2 linked regions of the Caenorhabditis elegans genome follow. The protein of the gene in region 2 purifies or fractionates together with the protein of the main gene of each other region. This does not show direct contact. Each region holds a gene or a part of one and is shown on either strand. Other genes may lie near its edges.

Region 1 (4,880 bases), on a different chromosome or scaffold from region 2:
TTGGATCTGGACTCGCGACCATCAGCCCTTTGTAGTTGTTCTCCATGAGCTTTACAATTTCAAAATTCTCTGGTGTTGCAATCATTCGTGGACGGAGAACTGTGAAGGATAGCTCGTAAGAATCCGAGACGTGCATAATCTGAAAAAACCAAATTATTTTTTAAATTGATATCATGAACTCGTATAACTTACTGCTCCACAATTGGTATCATTCCCACAATAATATGGCGCAGAGAACACTGTGACACACTTTTTGTTGAACAAGAAGTTGAATCCTTCCTGAGACACTTCGTGAGCTCGGACAATCAACGAGAGGCCAAGCTTCTTCAAGAAATCATCCAATCCTTTTTGGCCGAAAACTACAGAAATTGCACGCTGCTGAAAAGTACAAATCGTCAATGTAAATAGTAGAAATTGTGATACTTTGTTCATTGCAAACGTGTTGCACTTATCCTGAGTTGGATCAGCCCACATCAAATCAACTTGAAGACCTTCGTCACAGGTTAATGGAGTATTCGGTTTCTTCAGAGCTTTGAATGATTCCCACGAGTTACAGTTTTGGGAGATTCCTCCGTGCATGCAAAGGATCCGTTGACCAACTCGAGCACAGAGTGGAAGCTCGTTGAAAACATTCTGAAAGGCATAGAGATATTATAAAAGTCGTCATTACGGGATAGTCTTCTGTTTCCCTGATATTGTCTCCACATCCTTCCTCCTCTCTTTCTTGTCAATTCCTCATAGAAACCATACAACCGGTTCATTTTCATACATTCATGATTGCCACGTAGCAAATGCACCAAATGAGGATATCGAATTTTGTAGCAGAAAAGAAGAAGCGACACTTCGAATGATTTGGCTCCACGATCCACATAGTCCCCGAGAAATAGAAATTGAACTTTTGGAGGATATCCAACGGCATCAAAATAACGAATGAGAGCATCCAGTTGTCCGTGAATATCTCCGACAATTGTGATTGGATGCTCAACTTGGAGCATTGCTGGAAGTGGTTTCAACGTCGACTCAGCCTGAAAATATATCATTGTAAGACTACAAAATCTGCTCAGACTTGTGCGTGGGACTTTCAGAATCTAGAAGAAATCGCAAAATACTCTAATTTTCAAGTTCATACCTTTTCCAAAATAGTGTAAATCTGTTTGTCAGTGAATGCATCAGTGACGCCCCATTTCAGAAGATGCTCAATCATTCGTTTGGCGAGTTGTACCACTGATTCTCCTTCGTACATGTATCCTTTTTGACTTTCCATCATCTTGCTTCGAACGTCGACTTTTGAAAATTTAAAACTTGGGAATACATTTTTTTTTTTGCTCGGAAAGATTCTTTCCTTTTTTTGTCGTGGTTACGTGAAATTAAATTTAAATTTTTTTATATTAATTTACTTTTTTTTAACCTCTTTTAATTAACTTTTTAATTTTTTTCAAACAAAACCCTAATTGTTAGAAAATATGAATATTTGAAATCACTAGCTCAGAAACTGACGGAGGATTGAAGCTGAGAAGCTTAGGATAGTTTGGAGGTATGAAGTAGGCACGCAGGTAGGCATGATATGAGTCTTTCCTACAACATTTCTTCTTTTCATGCCTCCTGCGCTCCTACTTTCTGCCTACCGGAAAGCTTTCGGAAAGCAATCGGTCATCTGACATATTGATGAAAAATAGGCTCTGAAAATGATCACATTTTGATCACATTTTGTAGTTTCTCAAAAAAAAAATTTGCCAAAAATACACATTTTTGGATAAGACAACAGTCCAAGTCCACATTTCATTGTCATTTTTTTCCTCAAAATCCCAGCGAAAATCCATTTTTTCCGTCATTATCTAATGCTAAAATCTAAAATCTTGTCTCCCGAAATGCCCTGAACATTTCAACAAAATAATGGCAAAGGTGGTGCGGCGGAAATTTTTCATTGTTTCATTTTTATTATTTTCGATTTTGCTGTTATTTTTACAACACTCTCGGCAAGTTAAGGTAATTGAGAGGACTTTTATTTTGGAAAATGGCTCGCAGAATAGGTAGGGGTTTTTTAAAAGTTTCAAATATTAAATAAATTTCTCAAATTTGTTTTAATAGTTCTCAAATACGAGATGCTTGTTTCGTACCCTACTGGAATCAAAAAACCACTGAAAATATTTTGCACTCGGAGCAAATCGAGGAATGGGCAAAAACGGAATTTGGTGGGAATGTGAGCTTTTTTTCGTTACTTGGTCGAGTTTGGGGCGTAGAATTTTCGATTTTTCCAGCTCAACATGATCGATGGGGAACCTCGCCTGCTATCCGCTTTCGTGTACCCTGACGAGATCTCCATTATCACTACTGTAATGCACACTTTTCTGTGGGTAGCGTTAACATAGGTCTGCTTAAATTGACAACGCATTTTGCTCACTTTATTAAACTACAATGATTTACTTTGAATTACGGTATTTTAGAATTTAACAGAGTGAGCAAAAAATGGTGTCAATATTCCTCAGGATCCAAAGTTTTCAGAAAACGTGCCACATGTCATTACTACGACTGTAACCGTGTCGAAATTCACGCTGCAAGATTTAAATCTCGTGTATGGCCGCTAGCAGTCATCACTTGCCCGCGAAGGTTCGGCGCAGAGTACGTGAGTGTCAGCTATGAAGAAGATGAAGAGCCTCAGGAACCGATTCCGTTGACCTACAGGGCTTACGATAGTAAGCTTGAAACTGAGCCTGAAATATCTAAAATTGACTTTCAGGGCCGCTCCACGAGCTCTCCGTTTGTGTAGGGCCAATGTATGGAGAAGAAAGCAAATGGCTGGAAATTATAGAATACGTAGAACATTATAGATTGGTGGTAGGTCTTAGAAATACATAGTGTCTAGAGTTTTGAACTGATACATTTGTTTTATTAATACTTGGGCTAGACCTCCCACGGAGACGTGCCTACGTGCCTACGTGCCTACGTGCCTACGTGCCTACACAAATCAACATATCATTCCAGGGAACGTCCCATTTCTACTTCACCCTATTCAACATGAACGAGTATGACAGGAAAATAATTGACAACTACGAGAGCCTAGGCATCGCTGAATCCACAAAATACACCACTGAATATTTGAGACTCGGGTGGATGTTTCATCTCTTGCAAACTCATGTAAGGGCCTAACTGCCTACCTACTCGCCTGCCTACTGGCCTAAGGCTTGATAGGCCTGCCTTCTAGGCACGTAGGCACAATGTAGGTAAGAATTTTTGTTTCAGGAATGCCATTATCGGAGTAAATTTCATTCGAAATGGGTTGTCAATATGGATATTGATGAGCGGCTGGTATACACTGGACCACTTAACCTGAGAAGCTATTTGAGGTGAAAATGTTTCAGAATTTTCCAGCATTTCGTGAGTTTCCAGGAGACTCCCGCCGAACATTGGAGAAGTCAGCTTCACCACAAATCGAGTCTTGAAAACTGAGCCAGTTCCTGTAAAATATAGCAGTGATGCTCAATTAATGGAAGATATGCTATTCCTGAAATACAATAAAACCACTGAAATCAGTTGGTACAATTTGAAAGGGATCATTCGACCGGAAAAAGTCGCCATGCTTTTTTATCACTGGTCATATTTTCAGTTTGAAGGGGTCAATGTTGTTTCGGTGCCGAAAAGATTTGGGCATGTCAGGTGAATACTTTTTTTTGCAATGATCGAGAAATTTACCGATTTATTGATTTTCAATGTTTCAAAATATGTATCGATTTTCTGAGAAATTATAGATTTTTATTTGGAAAAGCTATTGAATTTTCAAAAAAAGTTATTTGATCTTCCGAAAAAATATAAATACCATATAAAACTTTCATTTTAAAAAAAGTTTCAGACACTACCGAAACATGGACAAAAAGGCTCTGAATGGGAATTGGATGGAAAACTACAACGGGACACTTCAAGAAACCCGCCTATCCAGGTCATTCGAGAAAAGATTAATTTCGGCAGTGAGACGACGGGTCAAATATGTATACGATCAGCGAATGGTGAGGTGCGAAGAAATTCCCGAGTGGTTGAGTTCAAGGTTCAGGAGGCAACTGCTGGATTGTAAATTTAAAAATGAAATTTAAGTAAGATGTTCCTGGTATAATAAATTTGTTTTTTGATCGACCTCTTACGGACATTTCAGCTTGGTCGAGGCGCTTGACGTCAAGTCTTAGAAGCTGAATTAGGACTTCTGTATAGGTTTCTGAACGCCTGCCTACTTGCCTTCAATGCCACCTGGGCCACGCGCGCATACGACCGCGTTTGAACTGTTCAACATAGAAGCCACGACACGTTCGACGATATGTTGCATCTATACACAATTAGTATATCTTAGAAAAATTGTGTACGAATTAATGAAGTATTACGTGTCCATGATTTGATGAGAACTGCTGCTCTCTCTTTTCCACACGCTCTCTCGCCATAGGCGTTTTGCATAGGCGTTAGATAGCGTGCGAGAAAAAGAGACGCAGGTGCTTTTTGCGCGTAAGATATGGCGAATTTTCTCACTCGAACATGGATACGTGATAAAACAAATTTATTCGGAAGTCATCAATAAATTATCAGGAACAATGAAACAGAAAAGAATTATTGTGATTAAAACGTGGAAAACACGCTTTTGGTTCAGAACATGTGGAACAATAGAAAAGAGAAACGGATAAAAGTTATTGAAGTTATATTACGGAACCATGAGATCATGAGAATGCCTATTTACTGGCACGAAAGTATTGGCAGGCCGCGGCAGCCAGAGAGTGTGTGGCGAAGAGAGACGCAGGTCCCTTCGCTAAGAGATATTTGCTAAAGATATTTTTAAGAGATAAGAGATATATAGAGATATTGATGGTAGAGATAAGAGAATTATAGTGATTAAAACGTGGAAA
Region 2 (6,481 bases):
GTTTTTAGGAAAAAAGGGATGAACTTGCAAAGTCTATTTGAAACGTAAGGGTATGAGCAGAAATTCAGGAAGCCATGGTGTCTTTTGAAACAAAACAATTACCCATGTGCCACTTTGGTATGCGGCCGCAACAAATAAAATAAAACCAAGTATACGGTTTTATTAAAAATTCACTTCTATATAATTTTGAGGAAGTTTCAGAGTTACCATTATTATAAAACACTAAAAGCTCGGCCACCAATTTTTTAAGCGGCCACGCAGAAAATACGACCTGGTCAATTACCAAACATAGGTGTCCCTGCAAAAATATACACTAGGGTAAAAGGTTTTATTGCAATTACTAGGCCATCATCGAAGACTGCCTAGTTTGGCTTGATGGATTGATGATGTGCCAAACTGATGAGCCAAACGGAGCGGGTAGCTAAGAAGAGTCATGGTTACGTACATGGATACGGAGACGTTTTATACGGTAATAATGGCTTTTCATCGGGCTCATCAAAATCTCATCATTTTCCGAATAAAACGTTGCCGTAACCAAATGAAACCATGGTGATGCGTGGTTACAAGCTCCGCCCAAGCATCGGAGCAATCCTGCCGGATTCATTTTAACTTCAATTTTGAACGAATAGCTTTCGAAAATGATCTCAAAGACTTCAATTCTTCTCCTTGGTTTTGCCTGCGCAACTGTTGGAGCCAGTTATATGGTAAGATATTTCCTAGCAAAAGTTTTAGCTAATACAAAGATTCCAGGACTCCGGCCCATTCAAATTCGATGACTCTTGCGAACCACTCGAACCACCACGCAAGCCAGAGGTCTCCGAATGCTATGAGGCACAGGTAACTTAGAGTAGCATTTAAACTATTTATTCTGCTGAAAAGGCTTCATGCCAAAGTTTAGACCTTGTTTCAAAAATTTGGCCAATCTTAGTTTTGGCACAATGCCATACTCCTAGGTCCTAGACAAACCTAGGTAAAACTTGCCTAAGTCTTGCCTAAGCTTTACCAAATTTAGGCCAAAAACCACAAAAAAAATTATATAGATTTTAATATATATTTATTTCAGCCGAAAGCATTTTTGCCAAAAGCTTTAGAGGAGTATCGTGCATTGGGATACGACTGGGGAGAGTTTGTGCATGACGACGAAGCGGATAAGGCTCCAGAAGGACTTGACGAGGTCTTCACTTACCCAATGGTTCCATTCATCGGCATGAGCCTTCTCGCCTCTAAGAAATTCTAATTGTGATTCTGTGAAAATATTTCAAATGTGGAATAAACCTGTTAACAAAAAAGTTTAATTTTGATCTTCTATATCCAGGTTTCAGGAAAAAATAATTAAACATGCAAGGACTACAAAAAAGACAGTGTATGAGCAGAATTTCAGGAATCTACGGTGTAAAAACTCGCTCGCTCTTATCAAATCAAAAAAAAAAATTGTTGAAAATGTTTTATGTAGATAACTTTCGGGCAAATTTCCAAACTGCCACGTAGCAAAATAGGCCTGCGCACTTACCCAAAAGTATAAATGTGTTTGAAATTGGGTGAGAAGGTTTTAGCTCAACTACACCATGATTAGTAGGTACATCTTCAGGCATACGTGCCTGCCCTGCCATATGTTAACTTACCGACTATTTTCTGCAATTTGGCGTAAACTCCGGTGTTAGGGTAAATACTGTATTTGATCATCTTAATTATGTACATTAGAAAGATCAACTTTAATATTAAAATTTTCACAAATGAAATCCACACTTTCTGCCTTCTACTACACACTATTTTAGTTCAATTTTCCATTAAAAACACAAAACAAACCGTTTAACCAATCACTTGTTCCATTGATCTTTGCCCACTCCATTTGCCAAAAACAAAGAAAATCTAAAAGAAACGAGTAACCGAAACAGAAAAGTGACGGCATGACTATCAATCAGTCTCCTTTTTTTTGAGAATCAGTTCATCAATTCGCGCAATTCATCATTCTGTTCAATTCTTCATGATATTTCTACTTTTTGTTGTTTTTCCATTTGTATATGCACAGCTTTTGCCAGAGTTATTAGCAGGTTTGTGTTCCAATTTCGCATTTTTGTCGGCTAACACTTTTTATTGCAATTTTTTCAGGTTTTCAGAATGGAAGGTTTAGAGGGGGACCCGATGGTTTTAATAGAGGACCTGGAGGGTTTCATCGTGGACCTGACGGCTTCGGGGGAGACCCTCGTGGCGGTGTAGACCTCGGCCACTTGATTGGGAATATTGCTGCAAATGTTGGTCAAGAAATGGGTCTAAACGATGCTGATGTTATTGGAGATTTAAGAGTAGGTTATTCACAGCAAAATTATCAGAACAGTTTACGAGAAATTCAACGTTTCTCACAGAAAAAAACTAAACAATTTTATTGAACCTTTTATAGGGAATCTCTCGAGGACCCCGACCATCATCCATGGAGTGGGGACGGCGAGCCCGGCATTTCTGCAGGAGATATCCGGGTCATCCAAAATGTCAGCGAGGACAACTTCCACAGTTTACTGATGTTCCGACTATTATCAACACTATTATCTACAACGCGGGAGATCTTCTTCCACGAGTTCCTACGTAAGTTTCAAATGTGAAGAGTTATTAGAAAACTGTCTGTTTGAAAATATTTTATTAACGTTAAAAAATCTCCTTTTTGAAATCGATGTGTAAGTCAGGGGTTTTTAGTCAACAAATTCGGAAAATGGACAAATCGCCGGTTTGCGGATTTGCCGGAAATTTTGAATTCCGGCAACTTGCCGATTTGCCGATTTACCGTTTGCCAGATATCAGATTTGCCGGAAATGTATAGACGGATTTTTTTATAAGACTGAAACACTTAAAACTGTGCCTTTTTGAAAAAAAAAAATTTTCCCGTTCACTTTAGATATTTTCATAGAATTTGCTTACTTTTGAAAATAGATGTAGGACCATTCATAGGATGCAAACAATTTGCAAACAACTGAAATTCTGAAATTTCAAAAAAGTTTGCAAATCCACAATTTGCCGATAATTTCCGGCAAATTCGGCAAATCGGCAAGATGCTGGTTTGCCGATTTGCCGGAGTTTAAAATTGTGCCTTATGCCTGCATGCCTACCTACTTTACTTTCTGACTGATCAATATTACAGCCTAAACATCCATGACCCGTTGGCTGGACTAAACAGCGAACTGGTTGGATTCATCAAGAGTCTTCAGTCACAATTTGGACAACTCAGTTCCCAACAGAGAAACGAGATTCACGATTCATGCAGATCATTCAAGTGCGATCAGCAGTCTCCTCAGAACACACAGGCAAAGCAGGAGCTATTGACAAAGGTAATTACCTAGTCTAGGGCTTCCACCCTACGTTTGCCTGCCTGGTCGTAAGCGTACTGAAGCGCTAAATTGCTAAAAAGAGGCGAGAGGCAGGCGTGAGGTAGGCAGGTTTTAAGCCGTCTGCCATGGAACCGCTAACCTGGCAAGCTTTAATCTTTCAGATGCTCGCCTTCGATCAAGCGGTTGGCGGTAAAGCTGCTCCGGCTCATGACAAGGTGAACCTCCGATTCGACAGAACTCAGCAAGTGAAACAGGCATTGCTCAAAAGAGCAAATTTGTCGCATATTGTAAGTATACCTTCTGGCAGTTTGAAGAAAATTCAAGTTTGCTTCAGATCGTTCCAGCTGACAATGGAGTCTTCGACAGAGATGTGTTGCTCACCGAGCATCAGGCTAACTTCCTGCTCAATGAGCTCGGCGAGGCCGGGCGTGGAGCAGATGTTGGAGCAGGAGGAGGTGGTGGTGGACGAGTTCCAAGATCCGGAGTTTTCTTCCAAGAAAGTGCGGTTCAGAAATGGGATATTTGGAAGCCTATTCAGTATACTTTGGATGATTCATTAGGTATAACTCTTTGTCAAATTTGAAGAAAAACCGTCAAAATCCTGACAAGTTTCCAGAAGAATCCGACAAAAAAGACATCCGGGATGCTCTACACGAAATTTCAATCAACACCTGCATCCTATTCAGGTACAATGCAACGCCAAAAGGATATCACTTGAATTATATGAAAGTTGATAGCACGACCTTGTAAGTTGACTAGAGAATCTAAGTGTGACGTCACTTCCTTTTCAGCTGCGGTCTATCCTACGTGGGACGGACCGATCCGGCCAACCCGATTTACTTGAGCTTCCAGTGTGGGGATGTACGGTTTCTTCTTCATTTTTTGGGGGAAAACACGTGGTGTCAAACTGTCCCATTTTGGTGTGATCTACAAAAAATGCGGAGAATCTTCTTTGAAATTCTTGCGTTTTTAGTAGATCACGCCGAAATGGGACACTTTGACACCACGTGGAAAGATAATGCAAATTCGATCGAAAACTTTCAGAATCGAGGAGTTGCAATGCACGAAACAATGCACGCGTTGGGCGTCAGTCACCAACACTTGAGACTCGACAGGGATAAGTATATCAAGGTTTTTAACTTTATTTGCAGTTTTTATGCCGTGGCCTAGAAAAAAATCCTCAACAGTTCCACGGCCACGTGATGTCAGAGTGTCTCATTTCGGCTTGATCTACGTAGATCTACAAAAAATGCGGGAGAAGAGACGCAGAGTTCTCAACTGATTTCGCATGGTTAAGAACGTGCTGACGTCGCATTCCGTTGGGCAGAAAATTCCCGCATTTGTGGTAGATCAAACTGTAATGGGACAGCCTGGCATCACGTGCGGCCTAGTTTTTTTTTCTCGGCCATTTAGAAAATGTGACCGTCTTTGAGTTTCAAGAATTTTTCGTGACAAGACCCACCGCACCTTTTATAATGTAATATCACGAAATTTTAAAAACATTTTCTCAAAGGCGCACGGGCTCAATCGGATGGGTCTCGCCACGAAAAAATTAATGGCTGAATCCTATACTGTTCATTTCATTTTGGAGACGCAGAAAAACGCGCATTTTGAAAATTGAGGAGCAAGCGCGCTCCACGGCCAAGTGAAAACTGTCCGCCCCCAGGAGTTGGGTCTCGTTAGGTAAAACCGTAACTTCAACTTTTTTCAATAATATTTCGAATTTTTTACTATTTTTTCCGTTGTTTTGTTGACTTTAATGTCGAAATAATGCAAAAAAAATTCATTTATCAAATTTCAAATAAAATTTTCATCAGTTAAATAATTAAAAACAACTGAAAACTTAACGAAAATATACGAAAAAAATATTGAAAAACCGATGAAATCTGGAAGAAAAGAAATTAAAATGGCAATTCCTAACGAGACCCAACTTTTGGGGGCGGGGAATTTTAGTTTGACCGTAGAGCGCGCCGGCACCTCGATTGTGCTTCTCTAAGTGCCCATAATAATAAAATGAATAAAAATGCCCGCCAAAAAACTCAAAAAAGTGCTACCATAACATTTTTCGTGGTGAGACCCATCCTAATGAACCCATGCGCCTTTAAGCAAGAATTCCAAAAATTGCCTCTTGTTCGCGACGAGACCCAGCCGATTTTTAAAAAATTTCAAAATTTCCAGATCGACTGGTCAAACATCGACCCCCAACACTATGACACATTTGCGATATCCGACGCGAAACTGTACACATCCTACGGTACCAAGTACGCCTACGACTCTATAATGCACTATAACGCATATCTCGGCGCCAAGGACCCCAACAAGCCGACGATGATCCCGTTGGTGAATCCACAGGAGAACACCCCGAAACTGGGTCAACGAGCCAAACTGACCCGCGGCGACATCCGGTTGCTCAAAAAAATGTACTGCCGTCCGGGATGTGACGATCAGAATGTGCACTGCGGCACGTGGGCTCTGCATGGCTATTGCAAGATGAAGGAACAAATGAAATGGATGAATGAGAATTGTAAAGCTAGTTGTGATAAATGTTGAGGATTCTCTACTTGACACACAAAACAAAATTCATAGTGAAAACTTAACAGTAACAACAAATAACAAAAATTCGGATTATCATTTAAACAATATTTTAAAAAATTATTTCGATGCTGCCAGCCAGTTGGAAATGTGGAAGTTGATGTTCTTTGGAGTAACCGATTGATTTCTCTTCTTGGCAGCCTTCTCCAGATCATCCAAATACTTGCTCTCAACCTTGTCATAGGCATCCTTCGCGTTATCCATCAGCTGTCCCATCAGGATCCATGGTTTCCTGGAAAATTAAATATTTAGAATGTCTGGTGAATTTGATAACTAGGAGAGGTTTTGTTAATATCGCTATTTATTAATACAGCTATCTGGTTTACGATTATGCGAAATTTTTAAATCGGCAAATTGCCGGAATTAAAAAATTTCTGGCAAATCGGCAATCCGGCAAATTGCTGAATTTGCCGGAAAAACGGCAATTGCTGAGAATTTTCGGCAAATTGCGGTTTTGCACATTTTTTTTTGGAAATTTCAGAATTTCAATTTTATTCATCAAAACTGTACGCATCCTATGAATCTTCCTACATCTATTATGAAAAGTAGGCAAAGTCGATGAAAATATCTAA

What was found. Proteins that work in one complex are often made in the same cells at the same time.
Region 1: the proteins of nas-9 (region 2) and gtnt-39 fractionate together in Caenorhabditis elegans (co-fractionation; one large-scale study listed by BioGRID). This does not show direct contact.

What each region holds. Positions count from the first base shown.
Region 1 is NC_003282.8:4,433,234-4,438,113, forward strand, and holds gtnt-39 (Glycosyltransferase family 92 protein), read left to right. Parts: upstream 1-1,800; 5' UTR 1,801-1,893; coding exon 1,894-2,030; intron 2,031-2,088; coding exon 2,089-2,200; intron 2,201-2,258; coding exon 2,259-2,350; intron 2,351-2,502; coding exon 2,503-2,693; intron 2,694-2,737; coding exon 2,738-2,835; intron 2,836-2,982; coding exon 2,983-3,135; intron 3,136-3,240; coding exon 3,241-3,344; intron 3,345-3,387; coding exon 3,388-3,654; intron 3,655-3,847; coding exon 3,848-4,085; 3' UTR 4,086-4,122; downstream 4,123-4,880. Other genes in the region: R08C7.8 (Serine/threonine-protein phosphatase), read right to left, coding at 1-139, 193-378, 424-633, 690-1,025, 1,130-1,243.
Region 2 is NC_003283.11:4,835,423-4,841,903, reverse strand, and holds nas-9 (Zinc metalloproteinase nas-9), read left to right. Parts: upstream 1-1,901; 5' UTR 1,902-1,984; coding exon 1,985-2,051; exon of another isoform or gene 2,052-2,109; coding exon 2,110-2,303; intron 2,304-2,398; coding exon 2,399-2,580; intron 2,581-3,130; coding exon 3,131-3,317; intron 3,318-3,478; coding exon 3,479-3,604; intron 3,605-3,651; coding exon 3,652-3,877; intron 3,878-3,933; coding exon 3,934-4,063; intron 4,064-4,108; coding exon 4,109-4,178; intron 4,179-4,361; coding exon 4,362-4,448; intron 4,449-5,495; coding exon 5,496-5,867; 3' UTR 5,868-5,877; downstream 5,878-6,481. Other genes in the region: cwp-1 (uncharacterized protein), read left to right, coding at 639-704, 751-837, 1,064-1,237; C37H5.5 (Nucleolar complex protein 3 homolog), read right to left, coding at 5,970-6,141. UniProt on the Caenorhabditis elegans protein: Metalloprotease.